Ovis aries: one gene and its partner. The protein of the gene in region 1 interacts with the protein of each later gene in a pairwise test. Links are inferred from orthologs where the notes say so. Each region holds a gene or a part of one and is shown in the gene's direction. Other genes may lie near its edges.

Region 1 (4,567 bases):
GCCAGGCAGAAATGTGGGGGTGTGCTGTGGGAACTTCACATTTTTCTTGAGGTGTTAACTCTCGACTTCTGGAATTGTTTTTTTCTTTTACTATTTAAATGCTGGTGAAACTTAAAAAAAAATGTGGATCAATGAAAACACCTTTTCAGGCCAGCTTGGCCTGAGGCCCACCCATGTGTGACTCCTAACTGCGCTCTGAGGGGGCCAGCGGTGTCCCGGGTTCTTACCGCCTCTCCGCCCCATCCTCCTCTCAGGCCCCGGCCCGTCTTCTGCCCTGTCTTCTTTGCCATCCTCGCCACCTCCAGCCTCCTGCTGGGCATCCTCTGGCTCCCCTGGAGGGGTGGCTTCCCGGGGGGGCTCCCTGCTGCCAGGGGCCGGCTCCCCATCCTCGTCCGTTTCTACCTTTTTGGTGCCGGCACCCTCCTCCTTTCCATTCTCTTCTTCTTCCTCCTCCTCCTCCTCCTCTCCTTGCTCCCCTTCCTCCAGGCTGACAAAGCTGACATAGGGACTTAGGTCTCGCAGGTGGAGTGGGGGCTCATCTCCCAGCAGCCGGGCAGCCCCCAGGCCTGGTCCAGGGCCTGGCTCTGCCCCTTGCCCCAGGCTGATGCCCACACTGCGGTTGGGCAAGACGTGGAGCACCCAAAGGGCCGGGTCCTGGGGCAACCTTCTGATCTGAGCCTCCAGCTGCCGCCAGCGACCCTCAAGGCTGGTCCCTACAGCCCCGCGCTCTGCCACAAACTTGTGGAACCAGCCAAAGAGGAGGGCAGCAAAATCAAGGAATTCATCCCGGTATCCAGACACAAACTCCATGTCTTCAGGGGCACAGGGCCTGAGCCAGACTGAGAAGAGGAAGGGATGTATGGTGAGGGAGAGGCACCGGGGACAGTGTGGGTTGGAGGGGTCCCTTAGGGTGGAATCTATGGATGGATGTTGGGAGCTAGAAAGGAGGTTTTAGGGCTGAGGATGCGAGTTCAGGATGAGAATGGGGGCCAGACTTGAAAGTGGGTGATTAGGGTTAAAAGTGAGTAGTCAGGAGGGAGATAATATTTGGGGCTCCAAATCTGAGGCTCAAACCCTCAAACGTAGGGGTTGAATTAAATCGAGGATCGAAGTGGGAGAGGGTTAATCCTATGGGGAAGAGTTCTGGACTCTTCTGTGGGGTGTGGGAAGAGGGCATCAGAGGCAGGGCCTCCCTTCGCCTTGGACGGGGTTAGGGTTGGCGGTGAACCCCAGTACACCTAGCCCCGCCCCGGCCGCTCCACTACTCCGGTACCTGCAGCCGCCACCACTTTTCGAAGGTAAATACCTCGGGGTGCGGTGTGACGTCAGGCTGCCCGAGCCCGTGGCCGGCTGCTCGGGTGGCCACGCCCCAAAGTCTGGTGCGGCGCGGAGGCGCCCGGGTCAGTGTCTGCGCGGGCGGAGCGCGCGGACTGGTGCTGACAGTCGCTTCGCCCACGTGACTGAGCCCGGTCAAAACGTGAAAGCCTCTCTAAGGAGCAGGTCACAGAGACTGAGCTGCGGAGGGCAGGCGGGCGGTGCTGGCATCTCTGGGCCGGACGAATCGGCCCAGGGGGCAGGGCTGCCATCCAGCCGAGCCGTGCACCTCGGGCTTCCTTTCGCTTTCTCTCGCCTTCTTCCGTCATTCCTGGTTATCCCTCGACGAGGCTCTGGGCTGGGTGCGGGGGTGCTGGCGGAGAAACTCCACCTCCCGGAGTTTCCCCGCCGCCCGCAAGCCTGCGATCACGCGGTTGCGACGGTACTGACCCCACTGTCGATTTGAGACGGTGAGGACGCCGGGAGGGACGCGCCGCCCCCCTCGCGACCTGCCTCGGCCGGCCGGGCCCCAGCGCCGACGACCGCCGTGTCCCTCGGAATCACAGGCGAAGCGGGAGAAGGAAGCGAAAGCCATTGAGAAACCGGCTGGTCGTCAGGCTCCGGAGAACGTCGGGGAGTCAGACAGAACGCGGCGGGCCGAGACGATGCTGGGCCGGGCATCCCGGTTACTCTTGGTCCTACTGTTTGTAGCTTGTCTCACTCCTTCAGGTTTGTCAGAGGCCCGGAGCCCCGAATCCGGGGAAGGAAACGGGCGGGAGGCACTAGCGCCGCGGGGTTGAGTTAAGTGAGGAGCCAGGGTCCCCAAGGCAGCTGGGGCAGGGGGAGGGCCAGCTGCTTGGGCTTGGGGATGGGCTGGGGAACACCTGGGTCCAGATGTGATTATGGACATATTTGGGGAGAGTGAAGCGTGGGTCGAGCCGGGGTCGGGGCTCAGATCCTGGGGTCTACGGGAGACACTGTAGCGAGGCTGTGGGTTGAAGTCTTAGTAGCAGCTGCATGAGCCCCTTGAACCGGGGCCTGTGCGAGCCACTTCCATCCCTCTCAGGCAATGGCAACGAAGGCAGCAAGGTTGGGAGGTGTCCCTGCAATCGTACAATCCCTTCCCGTTCCCCTCCAAACGAGAGTGAAATGAGTCATCTCCGAAAATACCTGACAGCATATCAGCGCTGTTTTTCCTACATCAGGTAATCTCACCACCCACCCCTGGGAGGGCTGCGCGGCGCCCCTCGCCCCCAGCCCTTCAGGATCCTCTGGTCAAACTCGATCTCCTTCTGGGAGGACGTCTAGCCCCTGCCCCATTCCTCCCGGTCACGTTCGCCCTAATTCGTTGCACCTTCAGTTTCCCTTTTCCCCTGTCCCACCTACCTGGAATTTCCCAGTCCCAGCAGAAACTGCCGAAGCTCGGGAGTGACCTCACTTCCTTGGAACCAGGAGAGAGCTGAGAATAGCGGGGGTGGGACAGAGAGTGGGGACACATCTGAAACCAGGTCGTTCCTCAGGTTCCAGCTACCCCGCGGAACTGTGTGTGGAGGCAGCACTGACCGCTGGGTTCAGGAACTGATGCGCTGCTTTGACAGCGGAGGTGAGAGCTTCCCCCTCCTCCCTAGGCCCTGTCCCCAGGGCTCCTGTGCGGCCCCCTTACACCCTTCTTTGCCTCAGCCCTTTCTTCTTCAGTACACTTTGACTTAAGTTCCTCTTTACCATAAACCCTTCACCATCACTTTCATGATTTTTGCCAATACTTCCTATCACTGTGCATTTACTTAATGTTGTTCTTGAAATCAAGGCACTATTTTTATGTTCGGGTATTTTGTGGTGGCGGCTTCCCCAGTGGCTCAGGGGTAAAGAATCTACCTGCCAGTGGAGGAGATAGTGGGTTCTATCCTTGGGTTGGAAGGATCCCCTGGAGAAGATGTCACTCTTGACTGGGAAATCCCATGGACAGAGGAGCCTTATGGGCTATAGTCCATGGAGCTGCAAAAGAGTCAGACATTACTTGATGACTAAACAACAAGAACAATTTTATTATGGAAATTTGAAGACATGTACAAAAGTTGAGAGATTTGTCCAGTGAACATCCATATAACCACCACCTAATTCTATGTTTGATTTTTATATTTGATGTATTTTATATACATCCATAATAAAGCAAATATATTTTATATTTTATAATATCGAGTTTAAGGCATTGTAACTATATTTGCTTTATTGCCCACCCATCTATCTATGCATCCCTCTATCCCTCATTGATCTGCCTAATATCTTTTTTGTACACTTCCAAGTAAGTTGCAGGTTTGACTATACTTTATTCCCAGACATTTCACCATGTATATTATTAAGGAGAGTTCTGTATTTTATTGTTCCTTTGAAGTGAAATTTTAAAACAATGAAATGAATAAATAAGTGTATACAGCTACTTTTGAAAAACTTAATGGCAACTTGTCCTAAGCAGGAACACCTGTGAAGTCACAAATTTGATATGCTGGTTGTATTTTACCCCTAAAATAAATACACAACCATTAAGACACCAGGTGTTCTTCCAGGTCCCAGCACCTATCTGATTTCATCTACTCTTCCTTGCTACTCTGGCTTTTGTTAATAAAATTATCCCTAAGTTACAGCTAAAAGAAATGAACCCCAGAGAGGTTAGGCAACAAGGGGCAAGGTCACAGCTACTTTGTAGCAGAGTCTGGGTTCCAACCTGGGTGTCCTGACTTTCCAGGACATGATTGCCCCAGGGGTTCCATGTTGTAGTTGCTCACTTCCATCTCTCCCTATTTTCCCTCTACCCTCCTTTCCTGGCCTTCAGCTGTTCCCTTGGTGTTTTCCTTGACCCACTACCCTGCCCTCTGTCTAGTTCTTCACCTTGTAACCTCATAGCCCTGATTCCTCACTTCTTGCTTCTTCAGAATGTAGACATGCTCAACCTAGGGTGGTGACCCACCAGGCGGGTGCACCTCTTCACAGCACCCAGCTTCCTGAGCCCACAGAAGCAGCACCTTCAGACACAGCCACCACTTCCCAGATGTACCTGCCATCCACTTTGCAGCGTACCCAGCAACCCACTCCTCTGGAAGGAGCACTGTCCTTGGACAGCAAGCTCATCCCCACCCATGAAACTACCACTTACACTTCAGGCCACAGTCTGGGGGCAGAGCCTGAGGCTAGGGAGAACCAGAAGCAGCTGAAAGAAAACATGGGTCCTGCGGCTGGGACATTAGCCATGGTGCCT
Region 2 (4,595 bases), on another chromosome or scaffold:
AGAAGGAGCAGACTGGCCCTCAGCCCAAGTGCCCTACCCGGCGGAAGGCAGTCTCGTAGCCGTCAGGATTCATGGAGGGCAGCAGGTGAATGCGCGTCTCGGTGAGCAGCCGGGTCACTCTCGGGTCCCCTCTCAGGAACTCACGACACAGGAACTGCATTAGAAGCAGGAGCAACTCCCGCCCCAAGGCCTCATTCCCATGCATGCCGGCCACATAGCGTACCTCAGGCTCTCCTGGGAACAAATAGGGGCTTGCAGCTGGCTCATGCACCTGCCCCTCCCTGCTGCTGTGCCCACCTCTTCCACCCCACCTGCCAGTACCCAGCTCATGCTCCCCGGGCTGGTCTGACATTTCCATCACATACAGCTTCAAGCCCTGGTGGCTCCTCCCGATGCTGTAGATGCGGGTGATGTTGGGGCATTGCTCGTTCACTTGCTTCATCAGCTGGGGGGTGAGTGTAGCATGGTGAGGGGCATGGGAGGAGCAGACCCAGGGCTCAGACCACACGAGGCCATAGAAGGACTTCAAAAGTTTGCGAGGGCCCATACGATGGGGACACCATTGGCGCAATACAGGAGGGGGCAGGAGCCAAGGAAGGAACGGTCAGAATAAGAGAGGCACCAAAGCAAGGGAAATCGTAGAAGTTTAGGGGTCAAAAAGAGGGTGAGATGGAGAGGGACACGAGGGCAATCATAGCAAGTTATGCCCTGGTGGGCAGGAGACCTGAGATGAGCAGATCCTCCCTCCTGGGTCATAGGGGTTACCTTCCTCATGGCTTTATAATCATGATGCCGGAAGTCTAGTGAGTCGGAGGATCCCAGCACGGGAACCTCAGGGAACGGACCATTGGGATCTGGTAGAGGATGAGTTCACAGTAAATGGTGAATTCCCAGGGGAGGGTGTGCCCTGCCCAACTAACCCTTGTCTTTCTCCCCACCTGAGACTGGGCAGGCCAGAATCTCTGCCCGGAGGCAAGATGCACCTCCCTGGAGCCAGGTCTGGGGCAGCAGGCGAATGAAACGGGCCACCTGGGGCTCAGGCAGGAGATTTAGCACTGGTGTCTCTGGATCCGAATTGGCAGGAAATACCTGAGGGCATCAAGTCCTTTGTAAGGGCCGCTTGAACCCCGGCAGCCTGGCTCAGGGCCCAGGAAGATGCTCAGGCCTGTGAGCTCACTGAAAAACCCACCCTAGTGGGCTCAGCTAGACACTTGCTCTCTGCGTCAAACACAGATTGCTGCCCACATCCTTTGCTAACAGGCAGCCCTAGGCAGTCATCCTTTCCAGTTTAGTCACAGCTCATTAGACCAATATGGCCATGTGACTCAGCAGTAGGCAATCCTGAAGCTGGCCAGGATCCCACACTGTAGCCTGAGGAGATGAGAAGTGATGCAAGGACTGAGGCCCATCGCCAGAAGGGGTGTTCCAGCAGGAAGCTGTGGCATGACGAAGTATTTGGGAAGGATGCGGGCATGGTCCAAAGCAACCTGGCTCCTGAGGCTGTCTGCTGGGTGCCACCCACCCTTTCTCCTGGGATGCCAAAGTGGGCACCTGTGTCTTGTCCTCAGAGGAGTCCAAGCCCAGCCCAGCACCCTACAGTGGGCCAGGAGCCCAGCTCCCAGCATAGAGGGCCCCAGCCACCATGGGACTTCTCACCGCATCCATCCCGCTGCTGCGATTCTTACTCCCCCACCAGGTCTGACTGTCATTGCTGAACTGGACTTTGTATGAAGTGACCCAGTCATACCTGGCAGGAAAGGTGGGTAGAGATCATGGGTGGCCCCCAAGCCTCCCACCCCAGTCCTCCTGAGTCTGCCCATAACTTTCCTGGCCTGGAGCTGTCCTGCCTCACCTCCAGATGGAGTTCCTGCCCTGTGTGATAATGCCCGAGAAGCGGGTGAGGTGTCCAGCATCCACCTGAAGCCATGGCTCAGCATCCTGCTGCTCGGCACACCAGGCCCCATCAAAAAGATCACCATCTTCCAGGCCTGACTGTGGGCACGGGACGCAGCAATCAGAACTGGGTAGGCCTTAAGGGAAGGTGGGAGGGGCAGGGAAGAAGGTCCTAGGGGTTGCCTTGCTGACCTGGATGTTGAGCCGTCCTCTGTGTGGTCCAAGACCAAAGGATTGGCTGCTAGATGCGTAGAGCTGGTTATCTGAAACTCGCAGGGACTCCAGGCCCAAAGGGGGACAGTCTGGGACAGGGACAAATCAGTAAGTTGGGACCAGAGAAACAGTGGTCAGAGCAGGTGGAAAGCTGAACCCAAGCTTGCCCGTGTGGCCAAGAGCTACATTAGTTCATGTCCCAGAGACTGCAAGTCTGGGCAAGGCCCTTGGAGTGGTGGTACCTGGTTCTTGCTTCTCAGTGAGGTCAAGGGTCCCTGTAGGGCTGGTGGTCACTGAAGGCCTGGCAGTCACTGGGGGTCTGGGGTGAGTTAGCTTCTTTCGCTTCTTCGTGACAATCTTTTTCTTCTTGATGACTCGAATCCGGACATGCTGTTCTGAAGTCCCTGGAGACCAAACAGGCAGAGCAGCAGGGAAGGAAAGGATGGCAGGAAACCTCAAATGGAGCGGTCTACCACCCCAAGAAAACCTGCAAGTCCACAGAAGGCCCCACCACACGTATCCAAGGACCTTAGCATGGACTTTAAGGCCCTCAGTCTGACCCCAACCTACTGTTCCAGCCACTTCCTTGATTCCTTCTCCCCTCTGGTGTGACTACTTGCTTGGCCCTCACCAATAGAGGGCTACACTGCCACCAGGAACTACTTGCTTGCTCCAAAGAGCTGAAGTTAGTTCTTTAACTCCTTCTTTTCCTGGCTGTCCCCTTCCCTATCGTATATCCATCACCTTTGACTTTCTTTTCGAATTCCCATTCTTTCTTCACATCTCAGTCCAGATGCATTTCGGGGAGCCTTCCTTAGCTCCAGGCTCAGTCTCATGCCCTCAAAGCCTCTGTGCCACTTCCATCACTGTGCTGAGAGGTCCTGTCCTCAAACTCATGTCTGTCCAGGTTTTCCAGCTTTCCAGACTTGGACCCCTGCCCTGCCTGCCCTTCAGTATAAAGCATTCATGGCACAGGGCAGATGCCACTGGTTCCCCACTGAGATCCACAGCTGCCCACCCCACCCCCCACACACACACTGCACATAACTGTGTCAGGGGTTGGTACCTTTGCACATACTGTTTCCCTCTTGGCTGCGCTCCTCTTCAGCTCTTCCTAATTCAGAGCTACCTTTCAGAACCAGTTCCACCTGCCTCTCCCAAGAAGCCCTCTGAGGCTGCCAATCCCCGTGCTTTCCTCCTCTCTCTTGCCACCTCTGAGAAGCTGAGAAGTCCGGCAGCCTTCCTGGTCCCCACCCCAGGCAGAGCCGCGTCCCTCCAGGGCACCTGGCAGAGAGCGCTTCCTCCCTTCCCCTGTTCTTTCCTTTCAACCGCTGGCTCAAGCCCACACAGTCTTGCTCTGCACCCTCCTCGGTGTCTTTGCACCTCTCTCTACCCTCCTCCTGGCTCTAGCCTCAGTTTCCCCATCCGAGAAACAAGAAAGTTTGGGGCTGGAAGAAGCAGCATCCCACTGGCTCCTGTCCCAGGACTGCTGACTTGGTCTGGCCGGGAACTAGGGCTGCTGAGTCAGCAGCCATTGTACCGCGCAGGGAGTGTGTGCGCGTGGGGCAGAGTCGCCACCCAGGCGCTAGGCAGAGTGCGGCGTGTGTGGCGTGTGTGAGGTGTGTGCGCGCGTGCTGGGGAGGGGTCGCCACACGGGGGTCGGAAGAGTGGGACAACCGATTAGCGGGAGAAGCGGGCCGTGGGTAGGACGGAAGCTCACCTTTCTCCTTCCCCGCGGACGGCTGAGCCGGGCTGCTACGGGGGGTCGGGACCGGGGCCTTGGTGGTCGCCAGGCCCAGCACGGAGGTGCTGGGCGCCCCTAGATCCACCTCGACGGCAGGCGCGAAGGCGGCCAAGGCGAGCAGGAGACCCCACATGGCGGGGTCCAGGGCGCGGACGCACTGGTCTCGCGGCGGCCGGTGGGCTCGCCTTTTCCTGCTGGGGCTCCGGAGCCCCCCGCCCCTTCCTGCCGCCGCTGCACGCCCGCCCACAGCCGGCTCGCTGGCCTCGGACCCGGGAGCCGAGGGGTTGGGAGGGGAGGGGAGGAAGAGAAGGGAGGAGCAAGGGGAGGGCCCAGGCTGGCCGCCCCGGGTCTCCGCACCCACCGACCCTGCCCTCATCTCCACTCCCCCCGCCCCTCCGCATCCGCCCTCGAGCTCCCGCCTCGCTCGGGCTCTGCCCTTTACCGTCGCAAAGGCCCCAGGCTCCCTGGATTCTACTCAGTCCTGTGAGCCCGTCCCGCAGTGGGCACCTACTGTGTACCATGCCCGGCGCCGGGCACTTTACCCGTGGCCTACAGTCAAACCTTGTCTCACAAACTGGTAAACTGAGGCTTAGAACGGCTAATTGACAGTCTAGGTAGCAAAGCCAAGAACTTTGGGGCGGAAACTACAACCCGGGAGGGAAATCTGTCCAGAGCCAGAACCCCCTGCCAGGAAGGTTGGGACGGAAAGAAGGCTGAGGGGAAACTGAGGCGGAGGCAGGGTTAC

The links.
Region 2: the proteins of CXCL16 (region 1) and TMEM239 interact in a two-hybrid assay, tested with the Homo sapiens proteins (2 studies listed by BioGRID). The two-hybrid records come from large-scale screens. The link is inferred for Ovis aries from reciprocal best matches to the Homo sapiens genes CXCL16 and TMEM239.

Annotation. Positions count from the first base shown.
Region 1 is NC_056064.1:26,494,954-26,499,520, forward strand, and holds the start of CXCL16 (C-X-C motif chemokine 16), read left to right. Parts: upstream 1-1,472; 5' UTR 1,473-1,979; coding exon 1,980-2,043; intron 2,044-2,380; coding exon 2,381-2,519; intron 2,520-2,834; coding exon 2,835-2,917; intron 2,918-4,244; coding exon 4,245-4,567. Other genes in the region: ZMYND15 (zinc finger MYND domain-containing protein 15), read right to left, coding at 228-810. UniProt on the Homo sapiens protein: Acts as a scavenger receptor on macrophages, which specifically binds to OxLDL (oxidized low density lipoprotein), suggesting that it may be involved in pathophysiology such as atherogenesis. Induces a strong chemotactic response. Induces calcium mobilization.
Region 2 is NC_056066.1:52,098,227-52,102,821, reverse strand, and holds the start of TMEM239 (transmembrane protein 239), read left to right. Parts: upstream 1-1,520; 5' UTR 1,521-1,656; coding exon of another isoform or gene 1,657-1,747; 5' UTR 1,748-1,852; coding exon of another isoform or gene 1,853-1,992; 5' UTR 1,993-2,024; intron 2,025-2,085; coding exon of another isoform or gene 2,086-2,195; intron 2,196-2,348; coding exon of another isoform or gene 2,349-2,510; intron 2,511-3,826; coding exon of another isoform or gene 3,827-3,983; exon of another isoform or gene 3,984-4,046; intron 4,047-4,595. Other genes in the region: CPXM1 (probable carboxypeptidase X1), read right to left, coding at 38-234, 322-445, 766-854, 939-1,089, 1,657-1,747, 1,853-1,992, 2,086-2,195, 2,349-2,510 and 1 more.